Lonchura striata: one gene and its partners. The protein of the gene in region 2 purifies or fractionates together with the protein of the main gene of each other region. This does not show direct contact. Links are inferred from orthologs where the notes say so. Each region holds a gene or a part of one and is shown on either strand. Other genes may lie near its edges. The genes, in order: FBXO42, RBPJ and FHL1.

Region 1 (7,357 bases), on a different chromosome or scaffold from region 2:
ACATCATTCCTGAGCTGGGAATGCACAGCCACACCATTCACAAACTGAGAATGCACAGCCAGACCATCCCCAAGCTGGAAAGGCACAGCCAGACCATCCCCGCGCTCCCACTCCAAACCTGTCACTCCTGGCAGATGTGCAGACTGCTGCATGCATTGCATTTCCTGAGATTAAGGACGGGATGAGGAGCACATCCCAACACCTCTGCAGAAGGTGCCCGACGCAGTGGCTGCAATCCCCAAATCACAGGTCACCCACGTTCAGCAGTGGGAATGAACCAACCCCACCTTCATTCCAAGCCCAGGCAGGGCAGCAGCACGTGTACTGCAGGTGAGCTCCCCTCAGGGCTGCACCAGCAGCCAAACTCTGGGAAAAACGGAGTCCCAGGGAATAAAGGCTGGAGGAAACTCCAATTGAAACTGAAAATCGTATATGCTGCGTGTTGATAAAATGATTAAATTGTCCAGAGCCTTTCTGAATCCAAGAGCTTCACCTGCCACCCTGGAAAAGCAACGCTGCCTGGGTGGAGTCACCTGTCAGGGAACACAGCAGGAAAAATACACACAAACATCCCTGCCACGCCAAAACAACCACGGGATGTGGCTCTGCCGCCGCCCGAGCACGGAGACACGAACTCCTGCAGAACAGCGTGGAGCCCAACACCAGGGAACAACACCTGTGCAAGGCAGGCACCACCCTGCCCTGCAAAAAGTGTCCACATCACCCCACGCTCAGAATGTACAGCCAGACCATTCCCGAGCTGGGAATGCACAGCCAGATCATCCCCAAACTGGGAATGTACAGCCAGACCATTCCCGAGCTGGGAATGCACAGCCAGGCCATCCCTGAGCTGGGAATGCACAGCCACACCATTCCTGAACTGGGAATGCACAGCCAGACCATTCCTGAACTGGGAATGCACAGCCACACCATTCCTGAACTGGGAACGTACAGCCAGACCATTCCTGAGCTGGGAATGCACAGGCTTGGAGGGACCTGGGATAGGGGAAAGTGCCCCTGCCCATGGCAGGGATGGTCTGCAAAGCCCTTCCAACCCAAACCCTTCTCGATTCTATGAAACAGCTGCAATTCTGCCCAAGATTTTGCTCTTTTCTCTCCCATTTGTAACACCAAGGAAATACCAAGCCTAGGCGGACATAACCTGAGGGAAAAATCACGGTTTTCAGCCTTTCTTTGGCATCAGCATAAGGAAAAGGAAGGAGAGATGGTAGTGGGAACACCCAGGGCTGTGGGAATGAGGAAACCTCTCACTCTGGCACTCGTTCTCCAGAAAGGCCAAGCCTCGGCTGCGTGGCTATGTCGCGATATAAAGCACTTTGTCAGGACACCGCGGCACCGCCCCCGAGCCGCGGCTTCCCTGGGAGGCTCCGCTCCTGAAGGACAGGTGGGGAAAGGTCCCTTCCCATCCAGGGCGGGGGTTGAGGTCAGCAGCTCCTCCGCGGGAATTCACCGCAATTCCCGATCCTTCCAGCCACGGGGAAGAGTTCCAGCTGCTGACCCGAGCCGGCTCCCAGGGATGATTAAAGCCAGCCGAGCACAAACCACATTCCCGGCGATCCCGGGGTTATCTCCCATTCCCCGCTCCCCTTTTGTTCCTGCTCCGAGCATTCCCTGGAGTTCGGGTCATGAACAGCGAGCCACCCCAGCCCTGCTCCCGCTCCTCCTAAAAGATTCCCGGCCCCAGTGACGGGGAAAGGCGAGTGGAAAAGCCGAGAGGCTGGGAAGGATGAGATAATGCAGCTCCTGCAGCGCTGCTCAGCCCAGCCCAGCCCCGCCGTGACAAGCACACCGCCCCAAATCAATCCCGAACCGCGCTCCCAAAGCCCCGAGCGGACACCGGCAGCGGAGACAATGGGAGCGACACCCCAAATTCGCCGGGGGTGCCGGGCTGGGCAGCTCGATCCCGCTCCGAGAGCGGGGCACGGACACGCACCCGGCGGCTTCAAGCGGGGACCGAGCCTCACCTTTGTTTTCACACGAACACAACGCGAGCTGAGGTTTTGGGGGGGCACCCACAGCCATGTCTGATCCCCCCTCTAAAAAACATACTTGCCCCCAAAAAACCATATCCCCCCCCACACACAAGCTGTTTCCTCCCCGACGAGCCATGCTCTCCCCCTAAAAGCCAAATTTCTCCCCAAAAAAAGCCATTTCCCCCCACCACCGGCACTGCCAGCCTGCGCCTTGGCACTGCCCTATGCCAGCACTGAATTTTGGGATAACAGGGCTTTTAGGGGGAAAATTGAGCTTTATTTTTTTTCCTTTTTTTTTTTTTGGGGGGGGGGGGCGGATATGTTTTTTTGGGGGGAAGGATGGAGTCTGGGGGACAAACCTGGCTTTTAGAAGGGAAACATGGCATTTGAGGGAAAACATGGCTTTTAGGGAGGAAAATAGAGGTCTTAGGAGAAAAATGTGTTTCTTTTGGGGGAAACACGAGGTTTTCTGGGGAAGCACGGCTTTTAGGGAGAACATATGGCTTTTCTGGGGAAACATGAGGTTTTTGGGGAAATGTCCTTTTTGGGGGGAAACATATATTTTAGGGAGGAAGCACAGCATATCGTGGAAGAAACATTGCTTTCGGGATGGGGGAAAGCTTGGCTTTTTGGGAAGGAAACACGGCTTTCAGCGGGGAAATACGGCTTTTTTAGAGGGCAACCCGGTTTTTAGGGGGGCAGGCTTCGCTTTCTCCCCGCCCTGAGGGAGCCCCGGGGCTGCCAGAGCTGGGAAGGGGCTTCCCCTTCCCAGAAGGGGCTGCAGCCCCCCGTGGGCTCTGCCCTCCGCAGCCACCCCCAAAACGCTGTGAGGGACTGGCACAGGGGCTGGCACAGGGGCTCCCCTTACCCTCCACCCTCAAATGTGGTTCCCCTCCACACCAGGCCTGTCCCGCCCCGAGGGGCCCGTCCCGCCGCCCCGCTCCCCGGAAAAGGGCCTCGCCCGGGGAAGGCAAACCGCGGGGCCGCTCTCACCTGCCGCCGGGCCGGGCCGGGCCGGGCCCTCAGGGCTGCGGGCGGCGGGGCCGCTGCGTCGCCCCGGTGACGGCTCCGACCAGCGCCGCCATCTTCCCTCCCCGCCCTCCCGCCGCTGCCCCGGCCGCGCCGGCCGCGCACTGCGCAGGCGCGGGACCGCCCTCGACATCACGTGACATAGGGCGGGCGTGGAGTGTCCTTATGGTGCCGCCATGATGGGAAGGTCAAGTGTTCGCTTGGCGGCGCAGCGCGGGGAGCGCCGTGTTTGGCTGGTCCCGCCGCCATCTTGGGACGGTCCTAGTGCCGTGGTGGGCGAGGCGGGCGGGCGAGGCCGCCATGTTGGGGAGGGCGGCGCTGAGGCGGAGATGCCGGGGCGGCTCCCGCTCCTTGTCCCGTTCCTTGTCCCGTTCTCTCCCGCTCTCTCCCGGTGTCCCGCCCTCTTCCGCAGCCCCGGGAGGCGCGGCTGGGCCACGGGGACCCGCTCTGCCCGCAGGCAGCCCCGCCGTGTCCCTGCGTGCCCCTCAGAGGCGGGGAGCGCCTGAGGGCTCGGCAGGGAGGCGGGATGTGGCCGTGCCCTCAGGGCTGCCCCTCTCCCCACGGCGGTGAGGAAGGGAGGGAGCGGAGCCCATTCCATGGGGGAGCAGCCCTGCGCGGGGCTGTGTCTTGGCATCGCGTCCCGCCGGTGGGACATTATTCTCCAGGGAAAAGGTGATCGCTGCCACCCTGCGTGTCCCACAGAGCCGCATCCCGCATGGAGGAGCCCGCGCGGCATCCCGGCCCCAGGGCGGCTCCAGGAGCCCGTGGGGAGCCGGGATCCACGGCGAGGAGCCCTGGGATGGCCCGGGGGATCTGTGCAGGGCTGGGATAGCCCGGGAGGAGCTGAGGGATGTCCCTGTGCAGGGCTGGGATAGCCCGGGAAGAACCTTGGGATGTCCCTGTGCAGGGCTGGGATAGCCCGGGAGGAACCTTGGGATGTCCCTGTGCAGGGCTGGGATAGCCCGGGAGGAACCTTGGGATGTTCCTGTGCAGGGCTGGGATAGCCCGGGAGGAGCCCTGGGATGTCCCGGGGGATCTGTGCAGGGCTGGGATAACCCGGGAGGAGCCAAGGAATGTCCCTGTGCAGGGCTGGGATAACCCAGGAGGAACCTTGGGATGTCCCTGTGCAGGGCTGGGATAACCCGGGAGGAGCTATGGGATGTGTCCCAGGTGTCCTGTGCAGGGCTGGAATAAACCAGGAGGAGCTATGGGATGTCCCGGGTGCTCTATGCCGGGATGGGATAACCCGAGAGGAGCCGTGGATATCCCTGGCAGGGTTGGGATAACCTGGGTGCAGCCCTGGGATGTCCCGGGGGATCTGTGCAGGGCTGGGATAACCCGGGAGGAGCCAAGGAATGTCCCAGATGTCCTGTGCAGGGCTGGGATAACACGGGAGGAGCTGTGGGATATCCCAGGTGTCCTGTGCACGGCTGGGATAACACGGGAGGATCTGTGGGTGTCCCTGTGCAGGGCTGGGATAACCTGGTCACACATGTGGGTTTTGTCTCCTGTGGGATTCCAGAGCTTCCCTCTGGCTGCCCTGGCACCCTGGCAGGGGTCAGGAACCCCCCTGGACAGAGCCCCCAGAGACACTGGCTGTGATCTCTGGCCATGGAAAAGAGTTTTCAACCTTACAGGATCAATTACCAGCTCTGAGTGTTTGATATCAGTAATAATTGTGGCACGGGTGCAAAAGTAAAATTTTAGATGAGGGGTCCAAAGGGGACAAGATGGAGGAAATTGGGTGTGCCTTGTCCTTTTTCTCCTTCTTCATGCCCTCCATGTTTCACTGTGGTGTTGGCATTTTTCTGTTGGTTTAGGCTGGGGACACACTGTTCAAGATAAATTATAAATATTGGCCCATTATTGTAAATATGGCACACGTAGTTTCTAATATATAATGTTTGTGATGTCCCACTAAAAAAAGAGCCCCACACCTATGGCAGGGCAGCAGAACATGTTAGAGATAAGCAAGAATAAACAACCTTAACAACCAACACAGACAAATTATGGCTTCTTCTTTAGCAACGGGACAAAAAAACAGAGACTTCCTACAATCTCAGAATCACCAATACCACAAATTCCAACGGTCTCCTTCCAGGTGAGCCCCCTTTTTGTGTGCCACAGCCATCAGTGCCTCATTCCCAACAGATCCCGCTTGGTTTTTTTGGGCTGCTCGGGCTCAGGCATGGCTGGGAAGGGGATTTTTTACAGCAGGATGGAAGGAAACGTCCCAGGGAGCGCCGCTGGAACACTGGAAGGGATGAAGCCAACCGTGCCAGGCTCTGGCTGCTGGAAAACTCAGCTCCTGTTGCTTCTGGGAAAACGCCAGAGGATGAGCAGGAACAGCTCCAGCCTGCTGCAGCTTCTCCTGGTGGGGGGAAACGCCGAGTCCCGCCCCGCTGAGCTGCCAAAAATGCACAAATCCAAGGATTTAATGCCCATGGAGCACTGCACAACCCCCAGACCCCCTCCAACAGTTCCACCTTGGATAAACATCCCCCCAAAATCCACCTGCGGCCTGTCCGGAGGTTCCCTGCCCAAATTTTGGGCTTGGCAGAGGAACGGGAGACTCAGGGTCGGGGCAGACCGCAGGGATAAGGATTTGTTTTAGCTGGAGGATTATTGGGATATTTTTAGGAGTCAGTCGCCATCTGCCGGCAAACTCTGGCTCTTAGGTGGGAATTTGGGGAAAAATTCGGATTTTAAGGGTTCTCCCACTCCCTGTGTGAACCCTGTGGGGTTTTTAGGATGCTGAAGGGGCGCTTTTTGAGGGAGGAAAAGGAAAAGCAAATCCCACTCCAAAAAGCTTTGTGTGGCTCGGAGTGCAAAGGACAACATCGGAGTGGTGAATATCTTGGATATAAATGAGAAAGGTTTAAGAAATTATGGGGGCTTGGGGGATTTTGGATGTTTCTGAAGGCTGGAGCTGATCCTTGTGCTCCATAAGAGAAGATTTGGGCTTAAATAAAGAGGCACAAATTGGATGGAAGGACACACGGACACCTGGATGTCTGCAGGAGGGACCAGAGGCTGGATTAGTGGCTGAAATAGCCTAAATTTGAGGAGAGATTTGTCCAATAACCCAAAATTAGGATAAAACGGCTCAAAATTAAGAGAAAAAACCCTAAAACTAAGATAAGAGACCCAAAAATTTAAGAGAAAACAAAACTATAGGAAAACAAACAAACAAAAAAGGCCCCAAAATTAAGAGAAAGCACAACAAAATCAAGGAAAATCACTTTAAGGGAAAACTCCTCAAAATTGTGGGAAAACACACCAAAATTAAGGGAAAGGCCCTAAACTTAAGAGAAAGCACACCAAAATCAAGGGAAATCACCTAAAAATTAAGGGAAAACTCTTCAAAATTGTGGGAAAACTCACCAAAATTAAGGGAAAGGCCCCAAAATTAAGAGAAAGCACACCAAAATAAAGGAAAATAATTTTAAAATTAAGGGAAAACTCCTCAAAATTGTGGGAAAACACACCAAAATTAAGAGAAAGGCCCCAAAATTAAGAGAAAGCACACCAAAATCAAGGAAAATCACTTAAAAATTAAGGGAAAACTCCTCAAAATTGTGGGAAAACACACCAAAATTAAGGTAAAATATCTCATTAAGGGAAAACATCTCAAAACTTCCGGAAAACACAAAAATTGAAGGAAAACACAAAAATGGAAGGAAAACGCCTCAGACGCACGCGCCGAGCGCGGTCCTCCCGGCCGCCAGGGGGCGCTGTGGCGCCCCGCCCCGCCGCCGCTTCCCGCCCTTTCCGCGCGCCGCGCGTGCGTTGCCGGGCGCGGGCCGGCGGGCGGCGCGCGCATGCGCGGGGCGCGGGGCCCGGCGGCGGACGGGAATTAAAATGGAAGATGAGGAGGTCGCGGAGAGCTGGGAGGAGGCGGCCGACAGCGGGGTGAGGGCGGCGGCGCGGCGCGGCGCGGCGGGTCCGGGGCGCCGGGGGGAGGCGCGGGCGGGCGGCGCGGCGCGGCGCTGCTTGAGGGGGCGGCGGCGGGGCGCGTCCGGCGGCGCGGCGGCCGCACGGCGCTGCTAGGCCTCTTAAAGGGACCGCGGGCTCGCTCGGCGCGGGGGGCTGCGCGCCGCCCCCAGCCCCGCTGCTCGCCGGTGCTGCGGGGCCCTCCTCCGAGCAGCTCCCTGCCCGTCCTCCGCTGCTCGGTGCGCAAACCCCCCTGGGCTCGCACAGAGCTCCGCTGGCCGCGGGGTGAGGCAGGAGGGGCGAGCGGAGCCGGGATGTGCGACCCCGGCGTGGCGGCGCCCCCGGCGGGGCTGCGGGCGCACACCCAAGGCCTTTCCCCGGTCGGAACGTGTTCCGTCCCC
Region 2 (7,587 bases):
CCAGGCTACTAAGAAGATACCATTCCATACTTTATGTCACTGTAAAATTATAAAATTAGTTTCATAGCACTAGAGATTTTCTTTGACCTATGGCTTTATTAGACCTAGCAGAGCAATATTCAAGCTAATGGATGCCTACAGGTGTTTTTGCAGTATAGCAATTATTTAAAAACAAGTGGCTTGCGCTCACAATATAATAAAGAAGCATGTTCATTAATTTTGTCATCTTAAAATGCTATTTCCCTAAATTGTACACAACCAAAACCAAAAATACTTCACAAAACCCAAAAAATACTATCCTATAATCCCAGCCATAAATTATCCACTTCTTTTAAACAGTAGTTGTGAATAGTAATTCCTTTTAAGTTACTTGTCTGATGTTTCTGTTTACTTTCTCACTGTATCTGGTTCTGACACTGTGCAGTTTGGCTTGTCACACTGTACATATGCACAAGTTTCATCAGAAGGCTCCTGTGAGGCAGCAGCACGAGCGTGCCACATGCTGCCAACAACAAAGCACAAACACACTCTGACTGCCCCCCAAAAGTGCTGCAGGAAATTCCTGCTATTGCATTCCAACACCGCATAAACCTATGTACCATAACTTAAGCTTAGGCACATAGTTTTCACAAGAAAGAAAAACAAAACAACTTTTTTCATTCAAGTAACACTGACTGCAAAAGAGCTATAAGTTTGAGTGCCCATGTGATGCCTAGTCAAACACAGTACAGGATTTGCATATTACATTCTTTAGTTATTGCTTTTTAAAACACTTTTTTCCCCCCGTCCAAGTAAGTTTTTACAGAACAGCCCAGAACGAAAACTTCCTATACTATTTTGAAAAAAAAAAACAACCACCTACTGCAGAATCATCAATTTTTAATTCTAATACACACAGACAACTCAGCATCAGAACCACATTCCAAAAACAGGTAATTTAATAAAAACAATTAAAAAACAGGCTCCTTCATATAATATAACTACAACATCAACAAAAGGTAGCATATTTCATTTTACCTACACTGGAAATATTTAACAATAAGAAAACAAAATTATTTTTCCAGATAATTATTTGACTTAGGGGCTTAAACAATAAAGGTAGCATAAAATCCCAAACTACAAACAATTATTTAACTCTCATTAAAATGGCATTTTTTTCTACTGTTCTGATTATTTGATCACTGTTTTTAAAATAATCCACAGTTGTTTTGTCAACATTTTAACACACATCTGAAAAGGATAAAACTAATGTCACAAACATGACATCACTTCTGACAATCCTGTAATGATCAATAAACAAAAGGAAATGGAGTCCAAATATTCAGATGAGTAAACTAATAGAAACATAGAAAAACTTAATTACTAAGTGGAGCACAGGCTAATAGTTATAGCAAACTTTAAAAGCATTTGTTCCCTTCTTTCAAGTCTAGCCTCTAAACTAGTACAATCCAGGAATCATTTACAAACAAGATTAGCTTCCCTAAAGAACATTTAATTGGGAAATTTTGTATCAGCCACAAGACACCTTCTTCAGGAAAGAAATCAAGTAAAAGCTTCAACTTATTTTTTGACAAACAAGAGTGAGGAATTGGAAACACTACTGCAGCTAATCAAAACAACAAAATACCATAATGCTACCTTCTCCACAAGAACAAAAGCATCAACCACCAACTCCACCCCACCCCCAAGCAGGCTGTTGCTCTCTAACCACAGAGCCAATGCTGTAGACAATGTAATCCCACAGGGAAGACAGAAGGTCACAGACACTGCGAAATCTTAAAATAAGTTCGGCGTTTTAGAAAGTCCTAGAAATACTTTAACGAGACAAAATTTCATTTGGAACAGGTGGAGTACAGATACAGCCTGCTCTTCTCCTGTCTCTTCCCTCAACACATAGAGGGAGGTCACACTTGCTCAGCGTAGTGCAATATTAAGGATACAGCACTTAAAAAAAGCAGCAGCAGCAGCAATCAAGATGTGGCAAGGATGGCAACGTGCAATGTGACACTGCAGGTGTGATTGCACACTGTATACCAGCAGTGGATCTGTTATTATTCATCAGCTGTAGGTGGCTAAGAGAGTGTCACTTATTACAGTGACACATGCTGCAGCTGGCTAGCCATGATTAAGTATTACCCAGTGCGGTTGAAAGGGATGGAGACTACCATTCATTATGATCCAGCGTGGCTTAGTGGCGTAGGGAGGCTGCTACCCTTCCTTGCAGCCCAGCATTTGAAGGAAGGCAGCTAAAACTCAACAAAGCCCTGGGAATGGTGTGCAGAGAGGAGAGAAAGGGAACCTCGGTCGCCCAGCCCGACGGCACGGGTGTCCCGCTAGCAGGGGCGGAGAGCCGCCCGCGCCCGGCGCGCCCGGAGCGCTCCGCCGGCAGTGACAGCGCCGGGCCGGGCCCCGGCCGGCCCTGCCGTGCGAGGGGCGCTGGGCACCGCGCTCAACTTCCAGCCGCAGCAGCAAACGCCTTTGTCCGAGCGCTCCCCGTCCGTAGCCGGGGGAGCCTGGAGGACCCACGCCTACGGCGGGACGAGCCAGGGCGAGCGAGAAGGGAGAAGAGCCCGTGCCAGCCCCAGGTCTGCTCCCAGCTGGGCTCCGCCGCTCCCCTGGGACCCCTCAGAGCGGGACCCGCTCCGAAGCAGCCGGGATGAGCACTGACCCTGCACGGAGTCCCGACCGGCGCGTCCGTGCCGGAGAGAACGAGAGCAAAGTGAGCGCCCAGCCGCGCCGGGACTGCCGCGCCGCGGGGCGGCCGGAGAGCGCGGCCGCTGCCGGGCCGGCGCCCGGGGCGCCTCCTCCGTGCGCCCACCCGGCGGGACCCCAGCCCCACGAGGTTTGCGCCGCAGGGCCCGCCCGCGGGCCGTCCGGAGGGCAGTGCCCCGTTGCTCGAGCGGCGGCCGAGGAGCGAGCGGGAGGGCGCGGCGCGGTCTCGCCCCGGCAGCCGCGGGCGGCGGCGGCTCCGGCGGGCGCCGCGAACGCCCCGCACTCACCCTGTCACAACAGGCGCCATCTTCCACAAACTCTCGCCAAAACTCCTACTCTCGCGAGAGCGCCCCCCTCCCCACGGCCCAGAGCGCGCGTGCGCGGGCCCGCGAGACACGCGCGGGGCGGGGGGGGGGCGGTGCGCGCCGCCCACTCAGCGCCCGGGCTGCTCCCTCAGACACAACAGCCCGGGCGTGGGAACCGCGCCGCTCTCGCGAGAGTGCGCCGCCGGCCGGCAGGCGGACAGCGGCGCAGGTCTCGCGAGAGCGGAGCGCGCTCCGGGGAAACCGAGGGATTCCCTCTGCCCGCTCGCGCGTCCCGCCCCCGCCGGCGCGAGGAGGGGCGGAGGGGGAGGAGCCATTCGGGGCGGGGCGGGGGGCGGGGCCGCCGCTGGCGCGCGGGGACCGGCCCGCGGCCGCCGCCGCCTGCAGCCGCGCCCCCTGCGGGGAGAGCGCGCGGGGCCGCGCGCCTCGTGCTGCCCGCGGGCGCGGCACGTGCTGAGGGGCCCGTGGGGCGGGGCTGGGCACGGGGCGCGGGGAGCTCTTCGTCTGACGGTGAATAAAGGGCGGGGGGCTGCGGTTTGGAGCCTCAGCTCTTAGGAAGACCTCTCGGGTTCCTCGCGTGGAATTGTTAACATATTTTTTTTTTTTTTTGTAGAAGTCAGTTTTACATGAGAAACCCGGTTTCATAACTTTGTTTTCATCCCCAGCTGAAGTGCGTAAGATGCGTTTGTTTAGCAAACAGAAGCAGCGGGGTCTGGCAGGGTCCCAGCCAGCTGAGCGAGCCCCGTGGCCACAGGCGGCCGAGTGCGGGCACGGGGACACGAGCGATCTGCCGCACGGGCTGTGCTCCACGTCTGATAAAGACCACAGAAAAAGACGATCCCTATTCTGGATTCATGTAACAGCACCCTTCGGGGCGCGGGTGTGATTGTCCATTAGGAGACTAAGTTTGAAAAATAATCCTTTTACATTAAGACTTCTGTCTGTTTCAACTTCGTCTGTGTTTAGTATAACACGTCAGTCTAACTCCGGGACAAATGCTACATTGATTAAAGATTGTTGAGGTTCCAAAGCCCACATCTTTTTTACTATGTTAGCTCTACGTCTGCTGTCTTCCAAATTACGGGGAAAAATAACATTTCAGTAGTCCCACGAATAAGATTTCAGATTTCTTGCCCACATATGCGCTTCACTGCTTATGCTAATTGAATGAATAATGTCTCAGATAAATAAAAACACGTTTCAAGAGATTCCTTAGTGACAAAGTTTTCTGTACGTGTCACTGTACAAACAGCTATTGTCTCCTGTCATTAAGGGACTTTCCCCATCATGATTTCCCCCTACTCATTAGATACAAGAGGACTTTGATTGGCTCCCTTGTGCGCACAGTTCTCGGCAAAAACACAATGCATACTGGAAATCTGTATTGTTTGCAAAGAGCAACTCGTAATCCGTTTGGAAATCTTTTCCTAAAAACATCTCTCTCTCTTTTTTTTTTTTTTTTTTTTTTTTTTTTTTTTTTTTTTTTTCTTCTCCCAAGGCTAAAGAATTATCTCAGCTCATGCTAACTCCATTCCGTTAAGAATAGTTTCTGGATGTTTGCCATGGACTGTCTCTAGATGGTTATTTTGTGGGGCCCCTCTTTTAGTGTGTTTTGAATCAAACTGGAAAATCTAAAAATATAGCACACAATAATCTGCAGTGTCTGGTCTCTTTTAATAATTGACAATGAAGGCACTTTGGTTAATAATCAGATTAATTGGATACTGGAGCAGGTATATTATTTAGAAGAATTAATAATCATAGAAACCATTGTAGTCCTTTCCATCACTGACAGCAGTACATTATAAAACAAATAACCATTGATTTTGTTTTCTTAAATTATAAATTATCTACAGTTCAAAAGGCCAGGAATACTATTCCAATCAAAAACAATAGCTTGAACTTCATGTGAATAGCTGGTGGAAGAAAAGATAATAACCCTAAAGGATTTTTAAATATTGTTTATGCATTGAATTTTTTTCTTGCTGCTAAAAGTTTGTATTTCACATAGATTGTGAACAGCTTCTATTGATTTTATTGGAAACAAAAGCATCCACTACCGCAGGGAACTAGACCTCACCTTCTGGCCTGTAACAAATATAAGCACTTCCAGAGCTGAGGTAGAAAAATTTAAATACCAGGTTTGCACCATTTAAATTTTTGTGTTTGCTATGTAAATTAGTAGTTTGACTTTTTGATTTAAGCTCAGCTGAGGTTGTCAAAAGGGCTCTGAATCAGGCCTGACACTTCAGAAACCATTTGGAAAATCACAGCTTGCAGGCATATTTGAAGGATGTGACTTCCACAGGTGTTGGGCCTCACCTGTGTTCCAAGCAGATGCCCTGCCAGGTGACTCCAGCTGGGTGCTCAGAATCATTAGCCACCTTCGAAAATGGAAGGCTGTTCATGCAGGAAATCCAGTTTACTCTCACTTGTCAACTGGGGGACAGGACCGCCTTGAATTTGGATTCACCAACATGTATGTTTTGTGGACAGAACCACTTGGCCAGTGCTTAGTGGATCTCAGCAGCTTCATTTTGGGAATCCATATGGTTCCCCTGTGCACTCAGTCTTGCTTTGTGTGGAAAGACGAGGAAAGACAAGGAGCCTAGCACGAGCCTACGGAATTGTTAGGATCAGGCCATTGGTGTGGGCAGGGAGGTCTTTTGGCCTGGAGTGTTGTCCCACCAATGGTGCTGCAGGACAGGAGCTGCTGGCCAGCAGTGCTCAAGAAGCCCAGCTTTGGAGGAGAAGGGCAGTCATGAGCAGGGAGCATGAGATGCAAGCTGCGATAACCAGGCCAAAAATTTCAACAGCTTGTTTGACCGGTCCAGAACAAACTTTCTCCAGCTCAGCCTTGGCTCTGGGCTTCCCATAAGCTCATTCCTTTGGGCACAACACTAGCTAATTAATATGCTTCTCATTTGGCAACTGCTTCCCACCTCATTGGTTTGGAAAAAGATGAGAAAACAAAAGACCTGCACACTTTTTTGTAGAAGCAATTCCATGTTTCTTATGTGCTTAGCACAAGCATGTGAGACATGAGCAAGGGGACAAGAGACTCTGTCTCAGATCAGCCTGTCTTACCAAAAAATATCTCACAGTGTGTCCTCTGAAATCCCAGCTATTTTAAAATTCAGTGACCTTAAAAAGCACTGTAGGTAGTGAGAACCGCAGTTATCTGGATCTCTTCATTATAAGGAGCAGGTTTATCTTGAGACGTTGTAGTTTGTAGGTGGTGTAAATCACACATTTGAGTGGTAGGTACTGTGATACAACCCTGCTGGGATTTCATAAGCACAGGATGTACAGTGTGGTTCAATCGCGTGTCTAGGAAAGCAAATAAACAGGCAGTTGCCCACAGAGCATCTCTTAGATCTGAACTGTGGTGCATGTGCCAACAAAAGTTATCGCTTAAGCTGCTCGCCAGCCAGCTCAATGTCAGAAATGTCTGCTGTTTGAAATGGATGCTGATGTTCAACACTGTTCAGGGAATTTGCAACATTGTCTTAAGGATGACAAAGAGAAAGAATACCCTAGTTAGCAGTCTGCAGCAGGAGCATTGTTAAATAGTTTTTGCTTGTGTGTTGTAGTCTCAAAGAGGATGGTAGAACAAAGAAAAAATCTGAATCCATGTCGTAATGCGGGCTCCGGTGTAAGTATACCTTGGTGTGGCAGTCCCCAGAGGCTATAGTCAAGCTTGGGCCTCATTATGGTGTTGCCTTGAAAGCAAGTACAGTCCCTTCCCAGAGTGTTCTTTTAGAGTAAAGACAAGAAGAAAAGAGTATAGCAAACATTAGGAAGGAAGAAGGGAGGGAAGATGAGGTTAACAGTAATAGCATCATATGGTTATATAGGTTAACAGTGTGAACAGCTTGATGACTGACTTCTATAACCTCTTATTTTTAAATACTTTCTAGAACAGCATGCTAAGACACTTTGCATTGTATTAAATTTTGCTCCTCACCCTACCCCAGAATAGTATCTTATTTTCCATTGGGTGAAATGTTTTGTCAGTTTGCATGTAAATTACCCTGCATACCTCCTTAGTTTTACTGGGCTCTACAAAGAGTGCACCTCTGAACCTCTCTCACTCAGCATTCCTCCACTCATGCACGATGCCTGTCCACCAGTTAAGTGTGGCACCAGGTTATTGCCTTAGCCCTGCCTCCCATGCACAGCCCTCTGCAGTGATGGCTGGTGCCATCAGTCCTCTCATCCTCAGGGTGTCCCTGCAGGTTCCACCAGACCTCAGTGAATCATTTGGAGGCTAAAATGCCATGTGGCTGCCCACCACACACCGGGTAGTGCCAGCCCCCTGCACCCCAGCATTCACAGGCAGTGGCAGAGCAGGGTTCCCCAGGCCCCACCTTGGTGGCTGTGCTGCCCTGACCTTCTGCCATGGCTAATGTGTGCACGCACCAAAGCAGTTCTAAGATTAAAGTTCTAAGATGCAGGATTACAAAGTCATTCATTACAAGGAATACAGCAAGATAAAGTGTAAAAATATCCATGTTTTCAAAACGTACAGGAGAAGATACAGCTTCTTTTC
Region 3 (7,958 bases), on a different chromosome or scaffold from region 2:
AACATTTACCTGACCACAGAGGTGCCAGTTGGCCACTTGTCCCCTGAAAGCATCTTCTGCTCCACAAGAACAGCCCTTGGACAGCCACACCTTCTATCCTTCAGAGATCTCAAACCCTTGGGCCCCAGGGGCTTCCAGACACCTCAAGTGGTGCTGACACCAAGGAATCACAGTGCTGAGGGTCAGGGCCACATCTGCACCCTGCAGCACAGCCAGCTTTGCACGGAAAGGTAAGGCCTAAGCAGTGCCACCCCACAAAAACTGCTGCATGCACACATCCCCTGCCTCCCGCTGGGCTCCTGCATCACCCTGGGCTGGTTCATCCCAGTTCAGCCAAAAACCCAAAGCAGCATCACAGTGGTTTGCACAATAAATGGAACCAAAGCATTCAGGGAAGGAAGCTGAAGCACAGCTGATAAGCAAAGCACTTAGCACAGGCTATGTGTTAACGTCTCTGGGGAATATGTTTAAATGTGATAAACCACCAAGAAGAACTTGAAGTGTAGTCTCTAAACACAACCAGAGAAACTGTACTTACACTTTACAGATTATTCTGCCACTTAAGAAAGAAGATGAGGTTGGAGTTGTTAACCCTCTGCCCTACACACAGTTGCACATGGAGAAAAAAGTGCTTTGTGATTCTACATTAGTTTTATTTTTTCTCAGCAGACTGAGTACACAGCCCCACAGTGCCAGGCACTGGCTACACCTGCCTGTTTCAGATCAGTCCTGGCAGCCCTGCTCTGTCACCTGAGTTACTATTCTCAGCATTCCTCTATGCAAGGTCGCATGGTTTGCTATAAATACCTGGGAAACCCTTAAAAGAAGGGTCCTGTTAATCCCAAATGCAAAGTGACACTCAGGACTGTACTGGCACAATGCCCTGGGCAACCAACATTTGCAAAGCCCAAGGAAAGAAAGAAATCTCTTATAGGTCGTTTTTGTTCTGGTATTTTTGAAAATACCAGAGCTGTGCTCTCCCACTGCCAGGCTGGGGCACGTGCGAGTCTCATACTCTATAATTCAAAAATTAATCTGTTGATAAAATGAAAGCTTCTTTATTTAGAGCAAGAACAGCTCCAAGTTCCTCAGGCAGTTGCCAGTAACATTCCCTACAGTCCTATTGCCACCATGTGTGAGCACATCCCAGTCATTACTAAATCTTCACAGTTCCCCAGGGAAGTAGGGACGTGCCATTTATTAAAAATCACTGGCCCAGCCCCGCAAACACTTTCCCCAGGGATTGCTTTGGCACTCAGTGCAGAGCTCAGTGAAGGCTAACAAGGCACCACTGCCTCAAGTAAAGCTGAGCACTTTAGGCAGAGTTTAAGCAGCAAAGTCCAAACCTTTCAAAACAAAACAAGTCCTGTCCATTAATTAACTCTGTGGCTGCATTAAGTTTTGTTTTTGAGACCCGACTACTATGTTCCCAGCTAAGCACTGGTCTGCCCCACCTCAGCAGCTGGGTGCCCTTCTCACACCCAGGGGCTCCCAGGTGCCAAAATGAGATTTCCTCCTGCTCTGGAGGATCCAGCCCCACCTTGAGCAGGCACTGTGATACCCCCACGGCTGCCCTGGGGTTCCCAGTGGACTGCAGGATCAGACATTGTCCTGTGACTGTTTGGCAGCAGCAGTCCAACTTCAGCATCTGCTCAGAACACCCTGCAGCATTTTATATTACAACACACCATCAAGTCTGTGAGTTCCTGCCCCAGGGGACATCCTCTGAGGAAGATGAGAAAGAAAAAAATTATATAGCTGGGAGTGTAATGGAAGGATGCTACAGCACTGCTCAGTCTTGTGGGCTGAAGTTAAACATCTTATATCAAATGATACCACAGAAGTCAGATTTACTCACACTGGTGTCCTGCATAACCTGTATGTGCATCCCACAAGCAAATCCTGAGCAGTTCTGTGCTGTGCAAGCAGCCTCTCGCATGTGCCTCGTCCTGGGAAGTTGAGCAGGAAGCTGAGCAGCAAACTGTGCCTTTTCTGCCCAGCTTTGAGGGGGCTCCCTGTTCCCAAGTCTCACAAGCACCCCTGGCTCCTGGTGCAGCAGCTGAGTTTGGTGCCCACAGGAGCTGTGCCCCACACTGACACCCTGTCCCCAGGCACATCCACCCTCGGGGTGTGCCTCACCAAGAGATGCAATGGCACCGCCACTGTGCTGTGAATACACCCTGGATATGCACAAAAACAGCTGCTAAGAGTGAGATAGGCTTTCAAAACCCCCAAAGAGCTTCTGATTGTCTTCAGCTGCAGGGCTAGAGGAATGAGGCAGGATGGGAAGACACCACAGAGCTGCATGCCATGTAGACATGTAAAATATGATCTTGAGATTCCTGTCAGTGTTAATGGAAAAATTAACATTTTCCTGTCACTAGTAAGGGTCAGCCCATCTGAACTAAAAGACAAACAGAGAAGAGGGACTAATCACAAACTTCCCACCAGAGCAGAGAAAACCATCTGGGTTTACACACTGGTCTCCCCTCTGCTCTGGGTTTCTCTGCTCACTGCAATAAACTTGCAGCAAGGAGGAGTGTTGTCCCCTATTTTCACCAAGTCTTTCTCAAATAACAGCTAACCCCCAGCCTTCCCACAGAAGCAGATACAAAAACATTTAAAATCCAATGCATTTCACAAAACAAACGAGGCCACCACCAGCACTCTGCTCCAGCACCAGTCTCCCACTGGTTATCAGCCCGTTTGCCATCAGAAGTTACAGCTGCAGATTGCTGAGGTTTAGGTCTGCATTCAAAGTTCTTTCTCTGGCACAGGAGCCTTTTAGCAAAACTTTCCTCCCCATTTACCAGGTGTACTCCCACACCCACTGTACCTGTGTGCCTGTGGAAAGCCATGGCCAGCAGCCCAAAGTCACCAGCAGCCCCGCAGGTAATGGAGTTCACAGGCTGATAAGGAGCTGCCCCATTTGATAACATACATTTAAACGGAGGCTATTAATATGGACAGGACTCCTACCAGATGTCCACTCCCCTCCCCAGAGATCTCAACCTTAATCCCCCTTGGAAATTCTTACCATTTTAGGTGATCTGAGGGAGAAGAATAGGATCCTGAGACCTCTAGGTCTCTGCAGGCAACAGTCAAATACCTGCCCAGCTACTCAGCACCCAAATTAGTCCCAAAGGCAGAATGAACTCATGAACTTGACCCCATGCTGGTACTATTTGGCCTTGGCTTTAGAGTGAGATTGTGTCTCGTAACAGTCCCAAGCTAAATTACAGACCCAACATGAATGCTGCTCTGCCATGGCTGAAGAGAAGAGGTGATCGCAGCCCCGCGGGGGCCAGGGGGCTGCAGCCCCAGTAGCCAGCGAGGAGCTGTCTTCTGGCCCAGAGAGGATGTGGCTGTACCCCTGGGGACTGAGCTGACAGCCCACAGAAACACCAGCACATACATTCATGGATGGGTTGGACTTGCTGCCAACATGGAGGTCATGCTGAAGTTTCACTGCCAGTAAAACTGCCATTCCTGGTCCTTCCCCAACTTTTTCCTTAAGGAAGCTCACAGCATTAACTGCTCAAAGGGAGCAAATCCCTTAAGAGCAGCACTTAGAAAGATGGGTGTCATGATATGGGGCTTCTCTAGCATCTAGCATGGCTTTAGAGGCACTGGCTCATACCTCTGTCCTCTAGACTCAGGTGTTCCCAAAGCTCTCAGGAAGATCTCAGCTCCATGATTCCAGCCAACCTGTTTCCACCCAAGTCACAGCAGGAGGGGAGGGAGCCATGGCTCGGGGTCACTCCTGTGGGGACCCCCAGGCTGCAGCAGCTCCGCAGCCCCGCACTCACCCCGAGTTATGCAACTGCCGGGGACGCTCAGGGCCAGGGGCCAGGACACCCAGCTGCCAATCCTGCCTCCCACTGACGCACTGCACGGCCGTGGGAAAGTCACTGAACCTCCCTGACAGCCACTGGGAAGAGCCAATGTTTATCATTCCTTCCAGGAAGCCCATCGTGGTGGTGTCTGGCCTCTGAAGAGCAGCCCTGCTACAGCCAGGAACATCTCTGCTTCCCAAGAGCTCCTCAGCCACACACACGTGCAGTCTCCAGCCTCAGCACTGGCCTTGGTGACTCCCTGAGCCTTCACACCCATCCTAGCCCCCCAGGCAGCATGTGCCCAGGCTCAGCATCTCACCAGCATCCTGACATCTCCAAGTTTCCAACATGGCCTGGAAAAGGCCACTCCTGACAGCGTGCCATTCCAAAGAGCACAGAATGCATCCACTGGTGCAGCACACTGAGGCTGGGAAACGTGCTAAAATACTAATGCACTGAAACACTTTGGCGAGGAAAAACACAATGTTATTCTGCCCCAGCTCATCTATAAACTCCAGCAAATTGTTTGCATAATTCAGATGGCAACAGGAACCCTAACAACTCGTATTTTCCTGTTCTAATCTTGCTGTGCGCAGTGTAATATTTACAGACATGAGTTCATTTTTGGCAATGCACATAGAGTTTGCACCATTAACCATTCTCATTCCTTTCTAGCTCCCTACACAAAGCTCTGGCACCCTCCCACCCAGCTGTCATTTCCTGCTTTCCCCAGAATGCCCAGGTATTTCCCTCAGAAGCCTTGGCTCCCATCCTGGCTGATAGAGCAGAGTCTCTGTGCAGTGCCAGTGGCTGCCACACCCCGAGCAGAGGTGGCTGCAACCAGCAGCAGTTTGGCAGCTGCAGAGGGCTGTGGAGAGCAGGGATGGACACTTGGATGTCGTTTCATGTGCACAAACACACGTGTGTCCACAGCACCACAACAGGCTTGGGCTGGAGGAGAGAGGAGAAGGGAAACGTTTGGCCAAGAAACAAGAGAGACCCAGACGTGTGGATGCCTATGGAGCTCCTGGCACAGCTTACTCTGCAAAGCCCCTTCTGATCTCCCAGAGCAGACTTTAATTAAAGCCATTTTGCTTGAATCTGTGGTCTCCTGGTCCAGCAACAGGAAAGGAACAACCTTACTGCTGCTCTTGGTTTCTTGCTTGGTTTTAGCCAGATAACTTTGGACAATTCACTTTTCCTGCCCAAGACTCTCCTCATCCACACAAACCCAGGTGATTAAACACAAAGGTGGTGCAGATGTAGCACAAGTGCCAAGGAGAGACATCATTGCCCCATGAAACGTGTCAAGGAGTAGACACCTCCAGGAAAGAGAGGGTGCCCCAGAACAGAGGTGTGGCAGCCCTGCCTGAGCCTTGTCTGTGCACCAGGCACCCACAGGTCCCAGAGGGAAAAGTGCTACAAATACACCAGGGAATGCACAGCAGGGCACAGCAGGCTTGGGATGTCATGTTTTTAACATTAAACCTGTCCTGTAGGTTTTCCAGGGAGCTGCCCTGGACACACTGATCCCACCCAGCAGGTCCAACTGCAGAGCAGCATGGCTGGGGCATAGTGTCATCCACTCGGATAAACAAATGATTCACGTTGTGATTTCCAGAGTATTTCCTTGCCCCAAGAATCCTTCCAGAAAAGGTCTGGGTCTCTCAGCTTGCTCACACATCCTGCTGTCATTCAACAGGCAGAAACTCCTAAAGAGAGCTGCTCTAAGCCAGGCATTGATGAACTATTAGTCACCATCATCAAAGAAAGCAGCAGTAAATACCAGCAGCAGAGCACCTGTGCACCTCCTAAAGTAATGCTGTGCCTCCTGCTTCCATACATGCTGCTGGCAATGCACAGTGCACCTGCACAGAAGAGCACACTGCCATTCACCAGGCTCCCCAGAAAATGAGAGTCCTACAGTGCTCCCTGCCCTTCCTGTCTGAGGGCAGATCAATTTTTATTTTATATGTCTCAGGTTGCGTGTGTGTCTCTTCCCACAGAAAAGCACTCCTGCCCAACAGATCTCAGCTATAAACTTCCTTGGCTCTTCTGAGGCAGAAATAAAACTGTTTTTAAAATCAGTTCTTTGTTTTAGTATAAAGGCAAAGTTTGCAGTTAGACCACCAATAAGAGAGTTGGGTTTGAGAGAAGAGAGGACACAGATACAGCTCTCTCCAAGGAAAAGATCTTTACAGGTGTAGCTGAACCATCAGAGAGGCATAAGAGGCAGCAGTCCCCAGTGCCACAGAAATGCTGGACAGGTTTGGCACAAGGACTGGCACTGGGAGCTGATCCAGCTCTCCAAGCACTCGGTATCCAACACGCCTCCTGCTCCAGCACAGGAGCAGGCACTGCAGAGCAGTGCTTGGATATCCAGACTGGACTGCCCCCAGCCAGAGACCCTGCATGGCACACTCACACCTGAGCCACAAAGGGAATTTTCCACCTCGTCCTTTCAAAACTGGACAGTTTTGATGAAAGTGAAATATCCCAAAAATGCTCTGGAAGTCTCAAATCCAGCTCTGTGCACAAGGCTGTGCCTTGGCACCCCTGAAGCATCCCACAGGCACTCACAGGAGCACAGGGCAGAGACGGCTGGGCTGTGCCCACATCCAGAGCAAAGCCAGCAAGGACATCCCTGCAGGGACAGGGGAATGAACACCCCAGGTACCAGGTGAGCCCCTGGTGCTCCCAGGGAACCAGCTCAGAGGGACAGTAGAGAAGGAAAGTGGCAAGACCTGGCAAAAGCAGGATTCTTCCAGGCTGAGGTCCAGCTCACAGCTGGGTCACAGCAGCAAGCTGAGCCTTTCAGTGCCAAAGGAAGTTTTTTGGGCCAGCTCTGAAGGTAGGGGTAGAGGAACTGGGAATAGATTTATAAGGAAGCAGGCCCAGGAGCTCAAACAGAGTGTGAGTAAAAACAAAAGGCGGAAAAGAAGACAGGATAAGAAGGGGGGAAAAAAGGGATAAGGGCATAATAATTAGGAAGGAATGGTCAAGAGATAACAGAGCCCATCTGAAAAAAAGCAAAACCAGGAAGAGATATAAACCAAGTCCTTCCCCATCTGCCTCCATCTACAGGCTGGACTGTTTCCAGGACCATTCCCATGGCAGCTCCAAATTTATTTCCCTGCTGCCATCTGCTCTGTGGCTCCCCTCCACACACGCTCCTGACTGGCACTTCTCCCCATCACCTGTTGCTGACATGGCAGACCTCTCACTGCTGCTGGAGCCAAGTGACACTGGGGCCTGGGGGGAGTGTCTGTGCATAAATCAGGAGCTGCTTTGTAGTCCCAAAGCTTTGTTCAGCTCCTGTTCCCCATTCTGGCTATGACAGTGTGGTGGGATGCAGGCATCAAACAAAGCATGGCAACCCCTGGCTCCAGAGAAGACTGGGGAGAGGAGAGGCTGCAGCAGGTTCTGGGCAGAGCTGGTTTTGAATCAGCTCCAAAATAAAGTCAACTTCCTCCTATCCCTAGTCCTCTTTCTTGCATTGCAGATAAGATGCCAAGGCTGCATCTCCCAGCATCAAAGGATGTTGAGTGCCTGCTGTAGTCCCAGCAGTTAGATTTAGACCTTCAGTGCACACTCAAAAAGGGACAGCCCCAAAAGATTGAAGATTTTTAAAAAATATCTTAGAAAGACAGATGTCTTAGTCTTTAGATGCACTTGCTTAAACGTGAGCTGTGTTTCTCTTCCCAGCTCTGTCTGCCAAGTCCTTCTGCTGTGAGTGTGCAGCAGTGGGCTGAGCCCCCTTCATGGACTGCAAGGTGAAGACCACAGGTGTGAACATGTCCATGAAGGTCATACAGCCCTGAGGGGAGACAAAACTTCCTCTACTCCTCTTGGGAGACAGGGCCACATGTACTGCCACATGTACTGGTCTGATTCAGAAACCTCATGGGGCCAACCAGCTGCACCCCACCTCAGTTATTCCCCAGCCTATTACCCCAAAGCTTCACACTTAGGGCAGTGAGCTCCTTAGGCCAACTTTAGGTCTTTCTTTGTTCAAGTTTAGTTGCATTCATGGGCAGGGGGAATGACCAGTGGAGCCAAACGTGAGGCAGATATTTGCCAGTCACAGCTTTCCCCTGGTGGCTTAGCCCTGGCCTCAGAGCT

Evidence for each region.
Region 1: the proteins of RBPJ (region 2) and FBXO42 purify together in Homo sapiens (affinity purification with mass spectrometry; 3 studies listed by BioGRID and IntAct, counting the BioPlex papers as one, with this or other methods). This does not show direct contact. The link is inferred for Lonchura striata from reciprocal best matches to the Homo sapiens genes RBPJ and FBXO42.
Region 3: the proteins of RBPJ (region 2) and FHL1 purify together in Homo sapiens (affinity purification with western blotting; 4 studies listed by BioGRID and IntAct, with this or other methods). This does not show direct contact. The link is inferred for Lonchura striata from reciprocal best matches to the Homo sapiens genes RBPJ and FHL1.

What each region holds. Positions count from the first base shown.
Region 1 is NC_134626.1:6,609,838-6,617,194, forward strand, and holds the start of FBXO42 (F-box only protein 42), read right to left. Parts: upstream 3,073-7,357; 5' UTR 2,988-3,072; intron 1-2,987. Other genes in the region: SZRD1 (SUZ RNA-binding domain-containing), read left to right, coding at 6,885-6,935. UniProt on the Homo sapiens protein: Substrate-recognition component of some SCF (SKP1-CUL1-F-box protein)-type E3 ubiquitin ligase complex. Specifically recognizes p53/TP53, promoting its ubiquitination and degradation.
Region 2 is NC_134606.1:18,657,490-18,665,076, reverse strand, and holds the start of RBPJ (recombining binding protein suppressor of hairless), read right to left. Parts: upstream 3,060-7,587; 5' UTR 3,020-3,059; coding exon 3,000-3,019; intron 1-2,999. UniProt on the Homo sapiens protein: Transcriptional regulator that plays a central role in Notch signaling, a signaling pathway involved in cell-cell communication that regulates a broad spectrum of cell-fate determinations.
Region 3 is NC_134616.1:6,663,381-6,671,338, forward strand, and holds the start of FHL1 (four and a half LIM domains protein 1), read right to left. Parts: upstream 3,067-7,958; 5' UTR 2,940-3,066; coding exon 2,837-2,939; intron 1-2,836.